Sus scrofa: one gene and its partners. The protein of the gene in region 1 interacts with the protein of each later gene in a biochemical or structural test. Links are inferred from orthologs where the notes say so. Each region holds a gene or a part of one and is shown in the gene's direction. Other genes may lie near its edges. The genes, in order: USP21, AURKA and ISG15.

Region 1 (7,632 bases):
CACAGCTCACTGCAACGCCAGATCCCTAACCCACTGAGCAAGGCCAGGGATCGAACCCACAACCTCATGGTTCCTAGTCGGATTCGTTTCTGATGCACCACGATGGGAACTCCTGGACTCTAGAGAGCTGCTTTGGAGCAATGGCTTAAAGACAACTTGGGGACTTCCCTCCTGGCTCAGCAGAAACAAATCTTACTAGCATCCATGAGGATGCAAGTTGATCCCTGCCTTCCCTCAGTGGGTTAAGTATCCCGCGTTGCTGTGAGCTGAGGTGTAGGTCGAAGACACGGCTGAGATCTGATGTGGCTGTGGCATAGGCCAGCAGCTACAGCTCTGATTCAGCCCTTAGCCTGGGAACCTCCATATGCCCCAGTGCCGCCCTAAAAAAGCAAAAATAAATAAATAAATACATAAATAAATACATAAATAAATGCAATTTGGGGCTGAGCTGGGAACCCAGGAGTCCTAAAGTTGGCTGTGTTTCCATGGTGTCGGTGGCGGAGCCGAGGGGGCGGGTTCACGCAAGCGCCGAGGAAGGAGGTGGGTGGATTCTGAGTGTGGGTGCGCAAGCGCTCTGAGAGACAGTGAAGCCGGCGGCCGGTGCCCGGGCGGGACCAAGAAAGATGGCGGCGGCCCCTGCGGCGGGAGAGACCTGGGCAACAGCTGCGGCTAAAGCTGCAGCCAGGCCCGCGGGGGTGCTGCACGCGGGTAGTAGGGGGTGGCCCTGAGCTGGGGCCTGGCCCCGGCTGGCCTCCCCCGCCGTCTTACCCGGGGACAGGTACGGTCCGGGACATTATGGCGTGGGGGTTGCCGAGGGAAGACTGCTCCCAGACCTGGGAGATCGCCCTCTACAAAGGCAGAGCAGAGGGCCCTGCAGGCCTGGGAGAACTGGGCTGGCGGGACCAGCATCCGTGGATCTTGGAGAATACGCCGCTGGACCCCGTAGCCAATCAGCAGCCTCGGCCTTTCTGCCCTCGAGGGGGGCGGACCCGGTTGATGCTGGCTGTGGTGGGAGAGGTGCAGAGATTAGAGGTCAGGGAGTTGTTCGTCCTCCCTCCTCGCCGCTACCCCTGAGCCCCAATACCACTTTGGAGCTCAGAGGTGGGGGAGGGAGTGATTGACAAGTCACTCTTTTAGTCTGCTTCGTTTGCAGCCTGGAGGGGCTGGAATCTGAGGATGGAATGCAGTCCTTTGGGCTCTTATACTTGCATCCACACCCCTCTTTGACCAGAGGTCCCAAGTGACCCAGGGCGCATCCCACTTGACTAGCTAGGAATGCGGGACCCTCATGAGTATTTAGATTATGAAGACAGCAGAGATAGGAACTATCTGTTGTTGGCTCTCTCATATTCTGCAGGAAGAGAGTGAGGAATGTGGAAAGAGTCAAAGCCCTGGCTTGCTGTATTCATTCATTCGTTCATTTACTCAGTGCATGTTAAGTATTTACTTTATGCCAAACACTATGCTAGGTATTGGGGATACAATGATTGATATGGTGGACATGGTTCCTGACCTCCATGTATGTAGAAGCTGGTATAGTAGGCTAGGTTCCCTCCTTCCTCCCTTTTCAAATGCTGACCCTCTCTTCTCCTCCCAGGTCCAGCCTGTGGTGTCCACAATGCCCCAGGCTTCTGAGCACCGCCTGGGACGGACCCGAGAGCCACCTCTTAATGTCCAGCCCCGAGTGGGATCCAAGCTACCATTTGCTCCCAGGGCCCGAAGCAAGGAGCGCCGAAACCCAGCCCCTGGGCCGAATCCCATGTTAAGACCTCTGCCTCCCAGGCCAGGTCCCCCTGAGGAACGTCTCAAGAAACTGGAGCTGGGACGGGGACGAACCTCAGGCCCTCGTCCCAGAGGCCCACTTCGGGCAGATCATGGAGTTCCCTTGCCTGGCTCACCACCCCCAACTGTGGCTCTGCCTCTCCCATCCAGGACCAACCTAGCCCGTTCCAAGTCTGTGAGCAGTGGGGACTTGCGTCCAATGGGGATTGCCTTGGGAGGGCACCGTGGCACCGGAGAGCTAGGGGCTGCACTGAGCCGCCTGGCTCTCCGGCCTGAGCCACCCACTTTGAGACGCAGCACCTCTCTCCGCCGCCTTGGGGGCTTTCCTGGGCCACCCACCTTGCTCAGCATACGGACAGAGCCCCCTACTTCCCATGGCTCCTTCCACGTGATATCTGCCCGGCCCTCTGAGCCATTCTACTCCGATGACAAGATGGTGAGGACTTGCCAGCACACATGGCCTTCCATGCTCATGTTCCTTCATGCTTCCAGCTTTCTTGCCATCATGTGGCTTTTCTTTCCCCCTTTTTCCCCAGGTTCATTTTTTTAACCCTTTGTTACAGCAGTTTGGACTCTCTCTCCCTTACTTAAGTGCCCTTGAGCCTCATAGACCCTTTTCAGGGTTGTCTGTGACTCTCCAGCAGGGTGTGCCATTTCATTCCCCAAGGAATTAACTCAACCATTTGGAATTCTTTGGGTCCCCAGGCCCTTACTTCCCCTTTCTGTACCTTCTCTCCTAGGATGCTACCTAAGTCTAATTAATCTCTGGAGCTGAAGAGGGGCGGGTTCAGAACATCTGAGCTAATGTGGTTGCCCATTTCCCGAGCTGAGTGAGCTAGGCTGAGTGCAGTTGGAGCCTTCAGGAGAGGGTGCAGGAAGGGGCCACGGGTGCAGGAGGGGGCCTTGGGGGTAGCAAGGTGGGGGTGGGGAGCAGCTGGGCAACCATGCCAGTGCTTGGGGAGTTGCCCCAGGAGCTGCATCGCCGGCTAGCTGGGCAGAGGAGTAAGTGGGCAACAGGTGGGACAGCCATGGCTGAGTCCGTGGTACACTCAGCTGTGATGGGCTTACTACTCATGGCCAGTGAGGTAGGGAGACCCCAATACCCAGTGAGGGAAAGAGTGTAGCGTTTGGGGGTGAAGGATGGGGTGGGGGAGGCAGTGGACAGCATGCTGTCAAAAGGATTAAAGTGCCAGGTGGGATGTATGGGAACCTGCTGACTGATCTCTGACCTTCCAGGCTCATCACACGTTGCTTCTGGGCTCTGGTCACGTTGGCCTCCGAAATCTGGGGAACACGGTGAGAGCCATTCTCCTGTCCTTCCTAATGGGAATGTGAACTGGTACTGGGGACAGGCATGGGGAAGGAGGGCACTGAAGTTCTCCCAGGGCTTCCTAGGCACTGGTTTGGAGAGATAATGGCAATGTCTCTGCTGCTCCCCAGTGCTTCCTGAATGCTGTGCTACAGTGTTTGAGCAGCACTCGGCCTCTTCGGGACTTCTGTCTGCGAAGGGACTTCCGGCAAGAGGTTCCTGGAGGGGGCCGAGCCCAAGAGCTTACTGAAGGTGGGGCAACAACTCCTGCTTCCTCCTTTCAAATCCTCTTTTTCCCAACCCATTGTAGGTCCATCTGCCAGTGTTGGTGGCCCCAACCCTGAAAGCCAGCAGTTTTGTCTTTTTCACAGTGCCTGCTTTCCTAGAGTTGTTTTCCACCCTCTTGCTTCCCTCTTCCAGTCGTTAACCTTTGTTTCCCTTCCCCACTCCCACCCTAATAGCCTTTGCAGATGTGATTGGTGCCCTGTGGCACCCTGACTCCTGTGAAGCTGTGAATCCTACTCGATTCCGAGCTGTCTTCCAGAAATACGTTCCCTCCTTCTCTGGATACAGGTGGGAGAACTGGAGGGTATGGGATTTCTCTCTGCCCATGTCTGGGGATAGGGCCAAGCAGGGGCCCTGGCAGCATCATTCTGAGCCTTGAGCTCTATCTAGGAAGTGGGGTCAGATGTCTGGGCACGGGTTAGTGACTGTGGACTAGGCAGGGGTCAGTTGCCCACGCTCTTTGTCTGGCTGCAGCCAGCAGGATGCCCAAGAGTTTCTGAAGCTCCTCATGGAGCGGCTACACCTAGAAATCAACCGACGAGGCCGCCGGGCTCCACCAATCCTGGCCAGTAGTCCAGCTCCCTCCCCACCCCGCCGAGGAGGGGCGCTGCTGGAAGAACCTGAGTTAAGGTAAGGTCGCGCCCCCTTTCTCTTGCCCATAGTTTATTAACAGCGTTCATCCTTCGCAGAAGTGAGCTAGTCAGGATTGAGGATGTAGAGTCCAAGGAAATGCTTATCGTAGAATTTGGTTTGAGAAGCAGTGCAGAAGTAGGAAGAAGGCAGGAGGAGGAGGGAGACTGAGGGGCACAGATGGAGGCAGAAGATAGTGCTGTGGCTGTCACCAGATTGACGGAGGAGGGGATAATTAATTTACAAGGTACATAGGGGTTTGAAGCCAGGTGGAGGAAGACGGCATGTTCTTCCCTTGTCTGTGTTCCTTTCTTTTCCTCTCACGTGGATTTCCCCGAAAAGTTCTCTGAAACGTTACTCGTTTGACTCTTCCTTGCAATTTTGAGAAGGAGCTGGGGTATGGGTGGGGTACAGGGCTCCGTGGATCATTTCAGTGGTGTTGGGGGTGCCCAGTGTTCCTGCTGTCTCATGGGTGCTCCCCACTTCCCTTGATCTGTGGTAGTGATGATGACCGAGCCAACCTAATGTGGAAGCGTTACCTGGAGCGAGAGGACAGCAAGATTGTGGGTATGGAACAAGACAAAGTGATGGGGGAAAATTCATGTGTGGGGGTGAAGACTTGGCAGGAAAAAATCAAGACTGTCGAGGGGTCTGGGAATAAGATGATGAAAATGTGGAAAAGTTAAGAGGGGAGAGTTAAGAGGGGAGAGTTGGCGATGGGAAAGAAGGGTCAGGCAAAGGGCTGGGAAGCGACAGGAATGCCAGAAAGCATCTCGGGCATCCCACAGTGACTTTTTCTCCTGCCCCTTTGCTTCTATCTAGACCTGTTTGTGGGCCAGTTGAAAAGTTGTCTCAAGTGCCAGGCCTGTGGGTATCGCTCCACGACCTTCGAGGTTTTTTGTGACCTGTCCCTGCCCATCCCCAAGGTGGGATTCCAGAGGATTCCGGGGGTGGATGGGACATGGGTTCTATGACCCAACCCTACCCACCCCCAGTGTGGGAGGGAACCATGTGGGTCTCTGGAGAAGAATCGAAGCTTGGGTTAATTGAGAAGAGTTGGAAAAGGAAATTCAGAACATGCTGACCCTTCACTCCCCTTTCCCCCCAGAAAGGATTTGCTGGGGGCAAGGTGTCTCTGCGGGATTGTTTCAGCCTTTTCACCAAGGAAGAAGAGCTAGAATCGGAGAATGCCCCAGTATGTGGAGGTTCACAAGGGATATAGTAAGGGTGGGATACCGGAGGTGGGGGAGGCTCCATGTGGGTAAAAGGGGTTGCATGATGCCTTAGTATGAGGAGTAACACTTATATGTAAAGATTTGTGTAGGAGTATTTTTCAGATATGTCCTGATCTGTCAGGGCAAAGGGCAGTGGCCCAGAGAACACAGAAGTAATAGGGAGCACAGTAAATTTATGTGAGTCAGGGTATTGGAAAAGACAACGGAGGTGAGGAGCACATTAACCTTATAACATTATTTGACATTTATTCAGGTGTGTGACCGATGTCGGCAGAAAACACGAAGTACTAAAAAGTTGACAGTACAAAGATTCCCCCGAATCCTCGTGCTCCGTATCCTAATCTTCAAATTCTTATTTCTCCCATTCATTCTTTTTCCTCATTCTCCAAGTTTGCAGAGGCTGGACATTTGGGGATTCGGTTTGCCTTAGGAAAAGGCTGCCACTCCATCTTTCCCTCCTGTGCTCCCAGTGTGTGTTCAGGGAGGGGAGTAGACAACATTCAGTTCCCCAGCCCCCTCAGAGGCCCTCTGCCTCCCAAATTCTCCTTAACCAGAACTTAGATCTTAATCGATTTTCTGCCTCCCGAGGCTCCATTAAGAAAAGTTCAGTAGGTGTAGACTTCCCACTGCAGCGACTGAGCCTAGGGGACTTTGCCAGTGACAAAGCCGGTGAGTCTGGGAAGGAGGGTCCTGAGGAGTTCCATGAAGGGGAGGGAGAGAATGGCGGAGCAGGGCACAGCTCTAACTATAGAATTTGGTCATCTCTAACCCTGAAGGAAGCCCCATATATCAGCTGTATGCCCTTTGCAACCACTCGGGCAGCGTCCACTATGGCCACTACACAGCCCTGTGCCGGTGCCAGACTGGTTGGCATGTCTACAATGACTCTCGGTGAGAACAGCCTTGCCCCATTCCTGCTGCAGCCTTGACACCTTTCCCCAGTATGAAGAAGCCCCAGGAGACAGTGCCTACTGAAAGGAGATGTGGGATTGGGGGTGTGGGGGCGGTGTCTTTCCTAGGCACCACCCGGATACTGTGATGTTGATCTTGTGGGGAGGAGGGTCTATACAGGAAAGATCACACCTCCTTCCCCATCTCCCTTCTTCCTAGTGTCTCCCCTGTCAGTGAAAACCAGGTGGCATCCAGTGAGGGCTACGTGCTGTTCTACCAACTGATGCAGGAGCCACCCCGGTGCCTGTGACCTCCCTTTTAATCCCTGGCACCTGTGAAATCCTTTCAACACCCTTAAGCCCCAGGCTCCCCATTTACCTCAGAGACGTCTATTTTTGTGTCTTTTTAATCGGGGAGGGGGGAGGGGGTGGTTGTACCTCCTATTATTTTTTTTATTAAAAAGTACCCTTCCACCTGGAGGCTCCCTTGTCTCCCAGCCCCATGTACAGAGCTCCCTAGGCCCTGCCCGTGTACAGTCCCCACACCCTCTGCAGTCTCACTTTTTTGTGAATAAATTTATTAAGAAAAAAAATGATGTTCTTTGTATTTGTGCCTAGCGAGTGGAGATATAGAACTGGGCCGAATGGGTAGTTTTCCTGGCACTCAGTTCCCTTTCTAAACGATGGGGGGCGCTCGGAGCCGTGAGGCTGAGGGTGGGGATGGGGATGCAGGATCGGGACGCGTTGATGCCCAAGTTTGCCAAAGCGGTGAAGGTTTACATTGGGAGGAAATGAAGGCTGCAGGGAGGCCTGGATCCAGAGTGCAGGCACTGGGTCGACGGGGTTTGCCGGCGTAGGGGCCTGCCCCGCGAGAGCAAAGCACCCAAGGACCCCTGTTGACAAACACGGTACGTTGCCGGGGCGCCCTAGCTCCCGTAGGCCCAGGCTGTTGCTAACATCAAGGAGCTGTTTATGGAGCCACCTCCCCGGGGACCAGCCTCCAGTGTCCCTGTCTACTCTCCCTACAACCAAGACTCATGAGGACCTTCCTCCAGGGTTCCAACCCTAGCTGGACCTGGCAAACTTGAGCTGGGGAATGTTAACCAGGATTCTGCTCTTGCCGCTCCAGCCCTGAGGGGAGGGCAGTACCGAATATGGCCGCTCTCTCCAACCTGGCACCGAACCGGTTAACCTCCAGCTCCCCGGCCTTCTACAAGGGTTGCCCCACCGCCTCTGAGGGAGGAGGAGTCGCTGCCGGTTCAGTGTTTTCATTGGTGAATGTGATCCGGGGCCTTCCAGAACCCACCAATCCGGGAGCAGGAAAGGTAAGGTTAGGATCGTGCCGCGAGAATAGTGTGGACGGAGAGTCGGAGAGACCGAAAATCTTGGGGGCGGAGGCCGCGGACTGAAAACACTAGGCCTAGCGAGGGGTGGGAGAGAAAACGCGCTTCTTAGCCCTGGCGGCCAGTCGGTGCCCCCAGCCCTGTGCTGGCAGATAGCG
Region 2 (8,166 bases), on another chromosome or scaffold:
GTGAAGGTTCAACAAGATGGTGCATGCAGAGCATGGAGCGCAGCGGCACGAAGAAACTGTTCAAATCCTGTTAGCCAATATTTACAGTGAGACCTCTCTTCTTCAACTTTTCTTTTCTGCCAAACTACCCACCTGTGATTTTTATTCTTTACTGCTATCCCAGAACCTTCCATTTCTTCTGTTAATAAAACACTGGCTCATATTTGCAATGGGAAAGACAGCTGGTATCGTCAGATGTCTAGACACTACTGCCTGCACCAGCTGAGCTGTTAGGTTTACTTATGTTCATTCTTAACATATGTTTTAAGGCAACTAAGCTTGTTAAATTCTATGATTTCCTTAGGCAGTAAATCAAAACATGAGAGCTAAAAAGCTACTGTGCTATGAAAATGAAATCAAGTTGAACGCTTCGGAAAGATTCAAAGATCAATGGCTTAATAAAATACTGGCAGAGCTCCCGTCGTGGTGCAGTGGTTAATGAATCCGACTAGGAACCATGGGGTTGCGGGTTCGATCCCTGGCCTTGCTCAGTGGGTTAAGGATTGGGCGTTGCTGTGAGCTGTAGGTGTAGGTCGCAGATAAAATACTGGCAAATGGGATATGGTGAAACAACTATAAAAGGAAAAATGTGAAGGGCTATGCACTCAGGCTGATTTATAAGGGCTCAAGTTTTCCCTTGTCTTAGAGAAAAAAACTAGATGCTGGTTTTCGGTTTGTGCAAAAACAAAAACAAACTCCAAATGGTGGACATGATTAGATAACTTGATTATAAAAATCAATGTCTGTACATAAATGTACGTCTGTACAGATGCCGGAAGGCTGCCGGGGCAAACAGCAATAAAGAATAAAAGTCAAAAAAAAAGGGGGGGGGTTCCCATCGTGGCGCAGTGGTTAACAAATCCGACTAGGAACCATGAGGTTGCGGGTTCGGTCCCTGCCCTTGCTCAGTGGGTTAACGATCCGGCGTTGCCGTGAGCTGTGGTATAGGTTGCAGACGTGGCTCGGATCTCGCGTTGCTGTGACTCCGGCGTAGGCCAGTGGCTACAGCTCCGATTGGACCCCTAGCCTGGGAACCTTCATATGCCGCAGGAGCGGCCCAAAGAAATAGCAAAAAGACAAAAAAAAAAAAAAAAAAAGAATAAAAGTCATGGAGAAGAGACTTGTGGTTGCCGAGGGGGAGGGGGTGGGGTGGACTGGGAGCTTGGGGTTAATCCATGCAAACTATTGCCTTTGGAATGGATTAGCAATGAGATCCTGCTGTGTAGCACTGGGAACTATGTCTAGTCACTTACGATGGAGCATGATAATGTGAGAAAAAAGAATGTATACATGTATGTGTAACTGGGTCACCATGCTGTATGGGAGAAAAAAAAATTGTATTGGGGAAATAACAACAACAACAAAAAGTCAAAGGCAGATAGGTAGCTGTGGCAGAGGAGAAAACTGGAAGGCAGAAGCACAGGAGAGATGACTATGAAAAAGGGCAGTGAGTGGGCAGCTAACACTGGTATCTACTGGTATTGTTGTACCTCACAGGGGTGACTGCAAGTGGGAGGTGTTGTGGGGAACAGTGTTTTTTAACTACACACTGCCCCCTGGAGAATTACTGAGGCTAATGATAATAAGAAGAGCTAACATTTATTGAGTTTTTTTTTTTTTACCATGTTTCCTCTCAATTAATCCTCAACACCCTATAAAGGAGGTTCAGTAATCCTGTTTACAGGTGAGGAGGGGCAATAGCTTGGCCAAGGTCTACTGCCCAAGGAACGTGAATTAGAATGCAGGTGATTTGACTCTAGAGACTGTGCTGTTTCCACTGCCTGTAGTGCTCCTTAAAAACTTAATGAACCAGTAAAAATCCATTAGACATTTAATACAGTAATACACATGTTGTAAGCAACTAATATGCATTACCTTGTTCAGTCCTCATCAAATCTCATTTTAGAGGTAGGCAACCTGAGGCCCAGAGAGATTAACTTAACCCAGGACCCAAGAGCTTGTAAATGGCAGAACCTGAACCTTAAACTAATCTATTTGAGCCCAGAGCCTGAGTTCTTACTGTGCTGCACTGATGAGTGTTAATACCAACAGCTAACATTTACTAAGCAATTGCCAAACACCACGCTAAACTCTTAAGATATATTTAAAGTATACGGAGAAAAAACAAATTATATATATACACACACATATATACATACACCCACTAGGACACAACATTGATGATCAAACTGGCTCAAAAAGGTTAGGAAACACTGCAAACAGAATGCTGCTGCGAAACTCGTCCAAGGTTAAAGTGGCCACTGGGATTGCCCACACCAGAGCCCAGAGCTTGAGCACTATTCCATCCTGTATCTCCACTTAAGCCAGGAGCATCAGGAGGCGTACCAAAAGGTTAAAATAAGAAAGACAGGACAAGCCCTGCTTCCCAACTCCCAAAGAACGTTCGCTCGCTGGGCGAGTAAGTGCCTAATTACCATCCCCAGTTTGCAGGTGAAGGGGCTGCGGCCAGAGGATAGGAAGAGGCCCACCCAGGACTGGTCGTACCTGGAGTTGGAAGGAGCACCGCGGCGAGAACACAGACGCCCCCCTCACCGTACGTTCCGCTATCACCCGGACCTAAAGGCCAACTGGGGATGGAGAGAGAGTGAGAGCGAGGCCTTTGAAGAGGAGGAGCAAATGCAGCCTTAGCCTGGCAACTCAGGGCACAGGCCGCATCGCTCACCGTCGACCCTTCCCGCCTCGCCCCTTCCTGTGGTCTCCCAAAGGGCCCAGCCGACCGCACCAGCCACTCTCCGCGAAACCCGGGCCCCCCATACCCGCTCTCTCCGGTCTCCCGCTCTCTCCTAGAAAAATGGAGACGCGAATCCTGCCCAATCGATCGCTCCGCGTGCACGTGCACTGCGCACGCGCAAAGGGCGTCGCGCCGAGCGCTGCGCTATCGATCGAACCCACTCGTTCCTGCCCTTCTCGCCATCTTACTCACGGGCGTGTTCGGGAGGTTCGTTCACCTCCTCAGACTTTATCTCCTACGCGGGGGCCCTGACGCCAAAGCCCTGCTGTCTCACCGATAAATGTCAGACCAGGAGAGCCCTGTGGGCTCTCGAACGGCCTCGGATGTGGCGGGCCGTTGGCTCCACCACTTCCGGGGCCTCACGGAGGAAGTACGCCTGCGCGCCGCCTCTCCTGGGCTGTGACTCAAGCCGGCGAGTTGGCCTTGAACCAATGAAAAGGTAGCGCCTCTCTGACTCAGGCCAATCAGCTTTCGGCTAAGAGGGTTTAACTCCTATTTAAAATGAAGACTTTGCGTCCTAACGGCTGAGCCCTCTGGAGGAAGCGCTGTTTTCAAGTTGGAGGTGAGAACCCCTAGGTGCGTAGCCCCGGAGCAGCTCTCAGGAGGGCGGGCAGCCGCTGGGTGGGTGGCCTCAGCGAGAGGGTGGGAGGGAAGCGGGTGGTGGGGCTGCGGGGCTTGCATGGGAGGGTCGGGGCGAGAAAGGGTCCCCCTGCACCCCCCCCCCGGCCCCGCGCCCCAGCCTGGTGCTTCCCCAGAGCCCTCCCCTCTGCTCCTGGTCCCGAGGCGCCCTGTAAGACGCCACTTGGTGTTATTAAACGCCTGGAGTGGATGGGGTTGTTGAGCTGGTGGGGTGGGCAGTGTGCTTTCAGTGAGCACCTGGGTGAGAAAAATAAAGTTTTTTATTGTCTTGGAGTGTACGTGCTTGGGGGGCGGTGGAGAGCAGGCGACGAACTTAGGGAGGTATCGATAGTGGTGAATGTTAGGCACGGGGGCGACCTTAGACTAGCTGCAAAGGCTCGTGTCCGGGCCGGTTGGGTGAGTGGGTGAGTAAATAACTTCTCGGAAGAGGCCTTCGCGGGCCAGTGCTTCTCAAACTGTAGACCTTGGACTGCCTTTATCAGGACTGCTTGAGGATCCTTGGGAAAAAGTAGGGTCCCACCTAATGGATCAGAAGTGCTTGGGCTTAGGACTCAGGTGTCTGTGTTTTTGTCAAGCTGTGCAGGTGGTTCTGATGGTTCATTGAGAACCTGTGATCTAGCCCAGCGCTCGATGGTTATCTGGGGATGTTGAAATGCGGGAACGGGGATGTTGAAATGCGGGAACTGGTTTGTTAGGTCTGGGATCGGACCTGAAAAGTTTCCATTTCTAACAAACGTCCTGGCTACCACCCTTGAGCAGGAGGCAGTAAAAGTCACCCTTAACGTTCCCTTTTCTTTGAATTATGCACCTTATTTCCTTTCCATGCTTCATTTTTTCCAGGCATTTGTAGGTTTGACAAAGAAAGAAAAAGTCTAAACCCACAGTGCTATTAAATATCGACTTTCCTATTTAGACCAGTAGGATCTCTGGTGTGAACTGCAGGGATCTCGTGCAGGTCCTCTGCATTTGACTCCTGTGCTTGGCTGTAAACCAGAATCACCTGAGAAGCAGTCTTCCTGCAGCTCTCCAGAATTTCTGGATCAGAGATTTATTCTGCTGTTTATTCTTCCTGAGAAGGAAAAGTGTATTAGACTACAGCAAATATCTGCAGCTTCCATTGAAGACTGTGGAATAAATGTCCATGGGCCTCCGTGATCTCATTAGTTTGCTGCTTATAATTGTTAAGGGAGAGTGAAGCATCAGAGCATTGTGAAATTAATGTTCTCATAATGAAAATATATTTCCTTTTCCTTTCTATTCTTTTTTTGGGGGGGGCCACCCTCTGCATATGAAAGTTCCCAGGCTAGAGGTCGAATCAGAGCTGTAGCTCCCGGCCACAGCCACGCCAGATCCGAGCGGTGTCTGTCACCTACACCAAAGCTCACAGCAGCACTGGATCCTTAACCCACTGAGCAAGGCCAGGGATTGGACCTGAGTCCTCAGGGATACTATCAGGTTTATTACTGCTGAGCCATGATGGGAACTCCCTGTCTGTTATTTCTAAGTGACTGTTTGATATAGGACTCCAGTTTCTTTAGCCTATTCCCACCTTCAAGGGAGAGTTATTTGCTTGCTTATCAAGTGGATGTGAAAGCATGGGACGAATGAGTGCTTTTGCTTTTTTAAATTTTTTTTTTTTTTTTTAGGGCCACATCTGTGGCATACGGCGTTCCCAGGCTAGGGGTCCAATCTAAGCTGTAGCTCCCGGCCTACACCACAGCCACAGCAACACTATGGGATCCAAGCCATGTCTGTGACCTACACTGAAGTTCATGGCAACACCGGATCCTTAACCCACTGAGCAAGGCCAGGGATCGAACCCGCATCTTTGTGGTTCCTAGTTGAATTCATTTCTGCTGGGCCATCACAGGAACTCCCAGAATATCTCGATTTGTTAGTGGGATCACTGGGCACTGTGTTGGGAGAGGACCACAAAGGGGCAAGGGTGGAAGCAGAGTCACCATTGGGAGCTTTTCGCAGGTAATTAAGGGGAAGGGGGTGGAGTGTGGTTTGACCAGGTGGGAGTAGTAAAGTTTGAGCAGTGATTTTTGAGGAGGGAGCCTGTGAGATACGCCGATGGGGTAGATAGGTTTGAGGGAGAACCATGTGAAGACGGCTAAGGCCTAAGGCTTGAGCACCTGGCAGGATGGGGTTTCCGGGAGACGGTGTGAGGAGGGAGCAGGACTTCAGTTTGGGACTTGATAAAACTCAGATGCCTCCGATGATCAGGTGGTGGGAGTTGAAAGGAGAGGTCTGGGCTTGAGATGGAGATTTGGGGCTGCTCAGCCTGTGGATGGGGTTGAAAGCCAGGGGGACTGGATGGGCTGGCTCCCCAGGGGAGTGAGAGTGGTTGGGGAAGAAGTGTTTGTGGCCTGAGTGGAGGGGAAACAAGCGTGCAGTGCTTGTTTCATGTGGTGTGTTGGCTTGGGGTACCAGGCAGGCTTTCTGAGGGTGTGAGCGGGTTGTTAGAGGGCTGAGCCCAGCTGTGGGGGGAGACGGGAAGGCAGAAGACCCAGGTTCCAGTTCTTTTAATAAAGATGTCTAGGCCGGGAGTTCCCTTGGTTGCGCAGGGGAAAAGAATCCTACTAGTATCCTTGAGGATACAGGTTCAGTCCTCGCCCTTGCCCAGTGGGCTGGGGATCTGGTGTTGCCATGAACTGTGGTGTAGGTTGCAAACGCAGCTCAGATCCCACTTTGCCATGACTGTGGCATAGGCTGACAGCCGTAGCTCTAATTTCATCCCTAGCCTGTGAACCTCCATATGCCGCATGTGTGCCCCTAAAAAGCAAAAAAAAAAAAAAAAATTTAGGCCCTGGGGCTGGGTGAGGGGCCTTAGGGAAGGCGTAGGTGGAGAAGTGGGGCATCCGGACACTGTGGTTGGTCAAAAGGAGGTTGCAGTGGGACAGCTGGTAAGATGGGAGAATCACCTGCCAGCTAAGTGAAGAAAGGAGAGGGAAAAGTGTCTGATGCTGGGGAATGTGGGGAATGTGAATAAGAGGGGCAGAGAATTGGACTTTGGGTTTGGCTGTAGCCAGTTCAGGCTCTGCAGGGGTCTGTCAGGAGCCTGACCGGTTGGGGGGATAACAGCCCCGAGGGAGTGAGCTTGTGGCCCTTGGATGTTGAAAGAGGAGAGAGATGTGGTCTTAGCTCGAGTCAGTGTGGGGTAAAGAGGACTTTTTTCCTTTTTTAAGGCTGTGGGTATGGAAGCGGGTCTGTACACTGATGGACCTGATCCACTAGGGAGAAGATGGAGCAGAGGGACCAGGCGGTTCAGGAGTGAAGTTGGAGCTGTCAGGGGTGGGGTGGGATGGGGTGGATGAGGGGAGAGCTTAGTCTCTTGGGGAAGGCCCCCACCTGTGCTTTATGGCATGTGGGAAAACACTGCTCCCTTATCAGCCTCATTTAGATGACAGACTAAAATTCTGTGTGATGGTGAGGCTTTTTTGTCAGGATTTATAACCCTGATCCAGCATAGCACTTTGAAGCAGATGGATTTTTATAAATTATAGGTGGTTCTTTTTTCTTTTCAGGTATCATGGACAAATGTAAAGAAAACTGCATTTCGGGGCTTAAGGTAAATCGAATAATCTATAATCTCAAACCCAAAAGGATTTTTTTATATCTTTATTTTTTTATTTTAAGTGAGAATTGCAACGTTTTAAAATTGTTTTTAATTTTTATTTATTTATTTGCTTTTTAGGGCCTTACCCATGGTGCATGGAGGTTCCCAGGCTAGAGGTCAGATTGGAGCTATAGCTGCCAGCGCATGCCACAGCAATGCAGGATCCAAGCCATGTCTGTGACCTACACCACAGTTCATAGCAACACCAGATCCTTAACCCTCAAGTGAGGCCAGGGATTGAACCTGTAACCTCAGGGTTCCTTGTCGGATTTGTTTCCGCTGTTCCTTGATGGGAACTCCTGGAGATTGGTTTTTATATCTGGAATTCATTTCACCTTGACTTTGGATCATAACTTTAATTTTTTTCACGTACCACACCGGTGACCCGAGCTGCTGCAGTGACGATGCCAGATCCTTAACCTGCTGTGCCAAGAGAACTCCTCCAGAAATTAATTTTGTTTGCCATAGTTAGTTGTCACATTTCAGAGCAATGTCAGGCAGTGCTTTAGTGGGCATTTCCTGGGAGTGTGCTTTTGAGTCAGGTTCCATGTCAGATGCAGGCATCATAATGGTGGAAGCAAGCACATGATCAATGACTTAAAAAAGCTTAGAGCTTGGAGTTCCTGCTGTGGCCCAGTGGGTAAAGGGCCTGGCGTTGCCACAACTGTGGCTTGGATTTGATCCCTGGCCTTTGAACTTCCATATGCCATGGGTGCCAAAAAAAACCAAAAAAACAAAAAAACAAAACCATCAGGAAGGTGTGTATGTATATGTGTGTGTGTTTCATGTATAAAACCTGGGTAATTTCAAGGAGGGGTGCGCAGTTCAGCTTGGGGTAGATGGGAATCCAGGAAGGCTTCACGGAGGAAAGACCCATGAAGACCGCTTAGCATTTGATGAACTTTTGTGGAGCAGCTGAGTGAAGGAGTCCTTCATATGAAGATCCTTTAAGTAGTCCTGAGGTTTTTTTCCTTCTGTGTACTTGGAATATAAATACTGCTTGATTTCCACCCCAGAGGAAGGGATTATTTTTAGAAGGCTTTTTCTCCAATAAATGGATACTAAGCCTTTTTTACTGGCTAAAAGTATAAAAATGACCAACTAGAAAAAAGGC
Region 3 (6,761 bases), on another chromosome or scaffold:
CACATAAAATCAGAATAGCTTTTTTTTTTTTTTGGCTGCACCTGTAGCATGTGGAAATTTCCAGCCCAGGGATTGATCCCATGCCATGCCAGCAAGTCACACTGCTGCAGCAACAACACTGCATCCTTAACCTCCTGCACCATAAGAGAACTCCTTATGTTTTTATTTTTAAACTTCTTTGTAACTGTTTTAATTTTTTAATTTCTTTATCTTTGTGCCATGTTTAATAATGGTCAGCTGAAGGAGATTGAAGGGTTTTCACATTCTTATTCTTTTGTTATATTTGCAGTTTTCTTTTTATAATACTAATATTTATGCAAGGAGTGTGTCAAGAAAAAATTTTCAATCATATGAAGAACCAATTTTTTCAACTGTTTTTGGCATGTTAGCAACTTTGGTACCCTATGAGATCATTTGGGGGAAGGGGAGGTGGAATGATCAATTTATATTCAAAATACTTTGTATTTTCCATTTATTTATTTATTTATTTCTTGGCTGCACCTGCAGCATGCAAAAGTTTGAGGGCCAGGGATGGAACCCACGCCACAGCAGTGACCCAAGCCACAGCCGCAACAGCACTGGATCCTTTAACCACTAGGCCACCAGAACTCATTACTTTCTTTTTAAAAGTTTATTTACTTTTTTTTTCTTTAAAATTATTTTTAAAGGGAAAAGAATAAAAGACAAAAATGTTTTTAAAATTATTTTTACTTTATTTTAGTTTGTTTGTTTCTCAATGAATTTATTACATTTATAGTTGTACAATGATCATCACAATCCAATTTTATAGGATTTCCATCCCACACCCCCAGCGCATCCCCCCACCCCTCAAACTGTCTCCTTTGGAAACCATAAGTTTTTCAAAGTCTGTGAGTCCGTATCTGTTCTGCAAAGAAGTACATTCTGTCCTTTTTTCAGATTCCACATGTCAGTGAAAGCATTTGATGTTGGTGTCTCATTGTCTGACTGAGTTCACTTAAAGCTATTTATTTTAAAAATTAATTATCTATTTATTTTTAGCAAACATATGCCTATAATGTGCAGTTTGTAATAGTGAAAATTTGAGAACAACCTAAATATTCAACAATATGGGATGGGTTAATTAATTACACTCTATTCTTTGCTCTTTTTCTGGCCACGCCTGCAGCATGTGGAAGTTCCCAGGCCACTGCAGTGACAACACCGAATCCTTAACACACTGAACCACAGGGGAACTCCTGATTGCATCCTATTCTCCAGTAGACTCCTGATGCTGTGGGGAACATACGCAGACACTAAAACAACTTGCATAAAAGTATCTATTACTATGGAAAGATGTTTAAACACATCTAAGAATGAAGCAGGTTACAAAACGGTGACAGTAGTTAGGAGGGTGTTTTTTTTTTGTTTTTGTTTGTTTGTTTGTTTGTTTTTTAGGGCTGCACTCACGTCCCAGGCTAGGGGTCGAATCAGAGCTACAGCTGCCGGCCTACACCACAGCCACAGCCACACAGGATCCGAGAGGCATCTGCAACCTACACCATAGCTCAGAGCAACGCCGAGTCCTTAACCCACCGTGCTGGGCCAGGGATGGAACCCATGTCACAGCGCTCCCAAGACCGTCGATCCCATTGCACCACAGCGGGAATTCCATGCAACATAAACTTAACCGCTTTAAAGTATGTAATTCAGTGGCCTTTAGCATATTTACAGTGTGGCACAGCCGTCACTTGATGCAGTTCTGAAACATTTCACCATCCCAAAGGAGACCTGTGTCCTTCGCTGCCACTCTTCCCCCCTCCCCCAGCCCCTGGCTACCACCGGACAACTTTGAGTCTCCATGGACTGGCCGCGTGTGGCCATTCCACAGAGTCACACAATATGTGACCTTCTGTGTCTATCTTCTTTCACTGAGCACCATATTTTCAAGGTTCCCTCACAGTGTAGCCTGTGGCAGTGCTTCACTCGTTTTTATGGCTGAAGAGTGTTCCACCCTAAGGATGGGCCATACTTTGTTTTTGTTTTTTTGGTTTTTTTTTTTTTTTGTCTTTTTGCCATTTCTCTGGCCGCTCTCGCGGCACATGGAGGTTCCCAGGCTAGTCGACCGGCCTAGGCCAGAGCCACAGCAACACAGGATCCGAGCCACGTTTGCAACCTACACCACAGCTCACAGCAACGCTGGATCGTTAACCCACTGAGCAAGGGCAGGGACCGAACCCGCAACCTCATGGTTCCTAGTCGGATTCGTTAACCACTGCACCACGACGGGAACTCCAGGATGGGCCATACTTTGGTGAGGCCTCCACCTGCTGATGGATTTGGTTCCTCCCCCCACCCCATTTCTATGACTCCTCTACTGTGAACGGAGTTGCTGTTAACATTTCTGTGCAAGCATTTGTTTGAACACCTGTCTTCGGGTCTCTAGGGCCTGTGCCCAGAAATGCAATTGCTGAATCACATGAAAATTCTGTTTAACATTTTGAGGATTGACTAGACTGTTTTCCACAGTGGCTGCACCACTTCTCATTCCCATCAGCAATGTATGAGGATTCCAATGTCTCCACACCTTCACCAGCACTTGTTACTGTTCTCTTTTTAATCGTTGTTATTATTATTGTCATGCTAGTGGGTGTGACATGGTATCTCGCTGTGGTTTTGATGTGCATTTCCTTGATGGCCAGTGATGTTGAGCATCTTTTCATGTGGTTGTTGGCCATTTACGTATTTTCTATTTTAAACTGTCTGTGAAGTCTTTTGCCCAACTTTTAAATGAGTTGTTTATCTTTTTGTTGTTGAGTTGTAAACGTTCCTTATGTATTATGGATACTAGGCCCTTAACTGACACATGACTTGCAAATATTTTCTCCCATTTTGTAGATAGTTTTTTTACCTTGCCAATAGTATTCGTGAGTTCATTTTCATGGAAAATAAAAGACACATCTCTTTCATTTAAAAAATCTGAATAAAAAACCTGAATAAATATTGTCATAAACCAATGGTTGTTATCTCTGGCTTGGTTGGACTGTCACTATGTTTTGCTATTTCTGAATTAACCCCGGCAATGATTTCCAAGGTTCCTAATTTTGCAAACTGGTAAATGGAAAGTGAAAGTTGCCAATTGTTAGCTCTCGGTATTATGATGCTATTTGTGCATCGTGAAAAGGATGTGAGGCACTGGGCGTGCCGGGGGTTTCTGAACACGTACCTCTGGAGGCGGGGATGCTGTCGTGTGCCTGGCTGGCAGCTGGAGAGACTCTGTACCCCCTTCCTCAATGTCCTGTCATTGCTATTTGTTTTTTCCTGCCATGCACTCCGGAGCCTGCCTTGGGAAAAGGAAACCGAAACTGAAGCCGATTTCGATTTCGGCTCCCGCGGTGGTTGGCTCCTGGACTCCGCCCTCTGACGCGGCTGCTCAGGCTTTTTAAAGGGCTGAGCCGCCACGGCTGAAGAGCAGCGGCGAGCTGAGCGGCAGCGACGCAGAGCGCACAGAGGCAGCGAAGCAGAGCTCACAGAGGACCTGTCGCCAAAGCCCACGGCCATGGTGAGGGGGGTTTGACAGGTGGGGCAGGTGGCCTCTCCCAGGGGCAGAACACCTATGTGTACCAGGCAGACAGAGCTGCTCAGGGCCCGCCAGGTTCCTAAGCATGAGGGGAGGGATGGGGCTCCTCCTGACGTCAGGGTCTGTGTCCTCAGAGGGCTGAGATCCCTTGGGGTCGGCACAGGGAGGCATCTTAGCTGGTGAAGGGAGGTGACATGATGGTTGTGGGTGGTGGCCATTCTAGAAATGCCCCCTTGCCCTCTCCAGTGCCCGGGGTCCCCCTCCTGGAGGGTGGGGAGGGTAGGGAGGAGGGAGCAGCACTCCTGGGCTCTAGGAGCTTTTGCCCCACTATGTGGTGGCCCTGGGACTGGTGACAGGGTCTCTGAGCCTGTGTGACGCCCACAGGGTAGGGAACTGAAGGTGAAGATGCTGGGAGGCAAGGAGATCCTGGTGCCCTTGAGGGACTGCATGATGGCATCGGACCTGAAGCAGCAGATCGCCCGGGAGATCGGTGTGCCCGCCTTCCAGCAGCGTCTGGCTCACCCAGCCGGCAATGTGCTTCAGGATGGGGTGCCCCTGGTCAACCAGGGCCTGGGCCCAGGCAGCACAGTCCTGTTGATGGTGCAAAGCTTCAGAGACCCACTGAGCATCCTGGTGAGGAACGACAAGGGTCGCAGCAACGCCTATGAGGTCTGGCTGACGCAGACAGTGGCTGAGCTCAAGCAGCAGGTGTGTCAGCAGGAGGGCGTGCAAGCTGACCAGTTCTGGCTGACTTTCGAGGGGAAGCCCATGGAGGATGAGCACCAGCTGGGGGAGTATGACCTCAAGCCTATGTGCACCGTGTATATGAATCTGCGCCTGCGGGGGGGCGGGACAGGGCCAGGGGAGCACCTCACCGAGTGCTAGTAATAAAGCTGTGGCAAAATTGAGTGTAACAAAGCGTCCATTCTTCTCTGGCCAGCACCATCTCGGTGTCAGTCCTCCATTCTGCACCCATTTTGGTGAGACAGGAGGTGAGATGGAGGAGGGAGTGGGATGAGGGGACCCAGAGGTTGCTGGGTGGTCACCAGACTAGAGTTGCCAAGTTAAGGGACAAGCCTTGTGGGATCAAAATGGTGCCCCACACACACCAGAGAAATCGAAGATGTGTCCCCACATCTTTGGGAAATTACCTTCTAGAGAAATAAAAAGAGGCACAGCCGCTAGAGCCCATCCTTGTCTTCCTGCTGTGCCGTGGTCAGCTCTGCAGCCCCACATCTGGGTCAGCAGATAGCACAGGGAGGAGAAGGCCTGGCCAGGTGAGTGCCCCTGGAAGCAGTGGGGGCATGAGCCCCTGTGGCCTGTCTGGGTGAGCTGTGAGGGAAGCCAGCCTCCCCCGTGAGCCCCACAGGAGCCAGGCTGAGTCAGCCCTGGACATGGGGGAGGCAGGAGCACAGGACGTGGACCTCTCTGGGCATGGCTCTGAGGACCTCTGCTTTCGGGCTCTTCAGGGCATTTGGCTGAAGACCCAGAAGCCTCCTTCCTGGTCTGTGGGGGTCCACAGCTGAGTGGGGGAGGGGGAGCAGACCTGCCTGTGACAGATATATGTGTAGATATGCAGGTGAGGGTGCATCGGCGGGGGTGCTCCTGGCTCCAGCCTCACTTCCTGCACCTCCACCCCCACCTCTGTGTCATACCGTAACTTAGTGTGAGCACACACCCTCAGCGCCACCCTCCTCTTTTGAATCCCTCCACCAGGGTCTGGGCGGAGTAGCGTCCTCCTCCAGAGGGGTCTCTTCCGCTGCTCATCCTCCGTTGCCTCTGGCTCCGAGATCCACGGCCGGCTTGCGTGAGGGTGTGCGCGGCGGACCCAGTCCTAGAGAGACAGAAGGGATCTCCTCTCCCCGCCCCCCGCCCCCCACCACCTTCATCTAGGTCATGCTCTAAGTTAGCGGGTCTGGATCTCAGCATATACCCTTCTCGGCTTACCTTCGGTACCTAGCGGAGCTCCGGGAGCGGGCGAGGGGGCGTGGCCGGCCGTCCACTGCTGACACGCGATTGCAGCCTCGTGGCGGCAGAGGGAGCCCGTCTCCCTGCAGAGGGGCCGGAGCTTACCGGGAGGGGGAGGTGGGCGGGCCTCTACTCCCTGTGACCAATCGCTGCAGCCCCCGGCCCGCATTGGTCCCAGCAGGAAGGGGGTCCCGGGCCGGCCGAGCTTCCGTCCCCAGTTCCAACGAGGGGCTGGGGTCCCCAGTCAGTCCCTCCTGCTGGGGGCGGGGCACTGCCCTGCAGGGCTCAAGAGGCGGTGGGGCCCCGGATCTGGCAGCCCCTCCCCGCAGCCGGGGAGTCCTCGCCGCCCCAGCCCCGGCGCAGCCTGGAGCCCCTTGGAAGTCCCGTCACGTCGCCTCCAGATTATGCATTAACCCGATTTCAGCCGCATTTCCTGGCGGGGGAGTGGGGGTGGAGAACGTCCGCGCGGGCGGGGCAGGGGCGTCCGTGGGGGTGCGTCGCAGCAAGGAGATCACCCTCCGGCCCGCCCCCGCCCCCGCCCCGCCCGGCCCACCTTCGCCCCGGCCAGTCCCACCACCCACCTTGGCCCGACGCAGACCGGCCCCCTCCCTTCCGCAGCCCGGCCTCCACCCGGCGCCGCTGTCCCGGCGCTTTGTTCGCAGCCGGCGCGGGTCGCTGGGCGCCGGGAGGGCCGGGGGCGGGCGCAGACGGGGCGGGGGGGGCGGGAAGGGGGTGGTGCTGCCCCGGGCCCGCCCCCGGCCCGCCCCCGCGCTGCCCGCGCTCCCGCCGCCTCCCAGGAGCTGCGTCCCGTCCAGTCCAGTCCCGTCTGCGGCGCGGTCCGGCCCGTGCGCTCGCTCCGGCCGCCTTCCGCCGTCCTCCGCCAGCGCCATGGCCAGCCTGCGGCCGTCCGGCTCGGCCCCGCTGCAGCCGCTGCTGCTGCTGCTGCTCCTGGTCGTGGCCGCGCGCGCCCTGCCCAGCGCCGACGGGACGTGCCCCGAGCGCGCGCTGGAGCGGCGGGAGGAGGAGGCGAACGTGGTGCTCACCGGCACCGTGGAGGAGATCCTCAACGTGGACCCGGTGCAGCACACGTACTCGTGCAAGGTGGGCCCCCGCGGGACCCCTGGGATCCTGAGCCCCCTTCGCATTCTCCTGGAAGCCTGAGTTGGGGGCCTCTCCCCCGCGACCCCTGCCCCCTATTCCGGAGGCCCTCCCCTCGCGAAGCCGGCCGCCCCGCTGAGACCCCCCGCCCCAGGCC

What was found.
Region 2: the proteins of USP21 (region 1) and AURKA form a complex in vitro, tested with the Homo sapiens proteins (2 studies listed by BioGRID, with this or other methods). The link is inferred for Sus scrofa from reciprocal best matches to the Homo sapiens genes USP21 and AURKA.
Region 3: the proteins of USP21 (region 1) and ISG15 form a complex in vitro, tested with the Homo sapiens proteins (2 studies listed by BioGRID, with this or other methods). The link is inferred for Sus scrofa from reciprocal best matches to the Homo sapiens genes USP21 and ISG15.

The regions. Positions count from the first base shown.
Region 1 is NC_010446.5:89,288,148-89,295,779, reverse strand, and holds USP21 (ubiquitin carboxyl-terminal hydrolase 21), read left to right. Parts: upstream 1-547; 5' UTR 548-778; intron 779-1,597; 5' UTR 1,598-1,618; coding exon 1,619-2,218; intron 2,219-3,018; coding exon 3,019-3,078; intron 3,079-3,222; coding exon 3,223-3,343; intron 3,344-3,552; coding exon 3,553-3,664; intron 3,665-3,850; coding exon 3,851-4,006; intron 4,007-4,508; coding exon 4,509-4,573; intron 4,574-4,828; coding exon 4,829-4,932; intron 4,933-5,114; coding exon 5,115-5,201; intron 5,202-5,494; coding exon 5,495-5,573; intron 5,574-5,802; coding exon 5,803-5,910; intron 5,911-6,017; coding exon 6,018-6,132; intron 6,133-6,351; coding exon 6,352-6,442; 3' UTR 6,443-6,724; downstream 6,725-7,632. UniProt on the Homo sapiens protein: Deubiquitinates histone H2A, a specific tag for epigenetic transcriptional repression, thereby acting as a coactivator.
Region 2 is NC_010459.5:56,967,225-56,975,390, reverse strand, and holds the start of AURKA (aurora kinase A), read left to right. Parts: upstream 1-2,955; 5' UTR 2,956-3,353; exon of another isoform or gene 3,354-3,367; intron 3,368-6,960; 5' UTR 6,961-6,965; coding exon 6,966-7,004; intron 7,005-8,166. UniProt on the Homo sapiens protein: Mitotic serine/threonine kinase that contributes to the regulation of cell cycle progression.
Region 3 is NC_010448.4:63,359,760-63,366,520, forward strand, and holds ISG15 (ubiquitin-like protein ISG15), read left to right. Parts: upstream 1-3,441; 5' UTR 3,442-3,517; coding exon 3,518-3,520; intron 3,521-3,922; coding exon 3,923-4,423; 3' UTR 4,424-4,452; downstream 4,453-6,761. Other genes in the region: uncharacterized protein LOC110261384, read right to left, coding at 5,004-5,372, 6,088-6,396; AGRN (agrin), read left to right, coding at 6,395-6,607.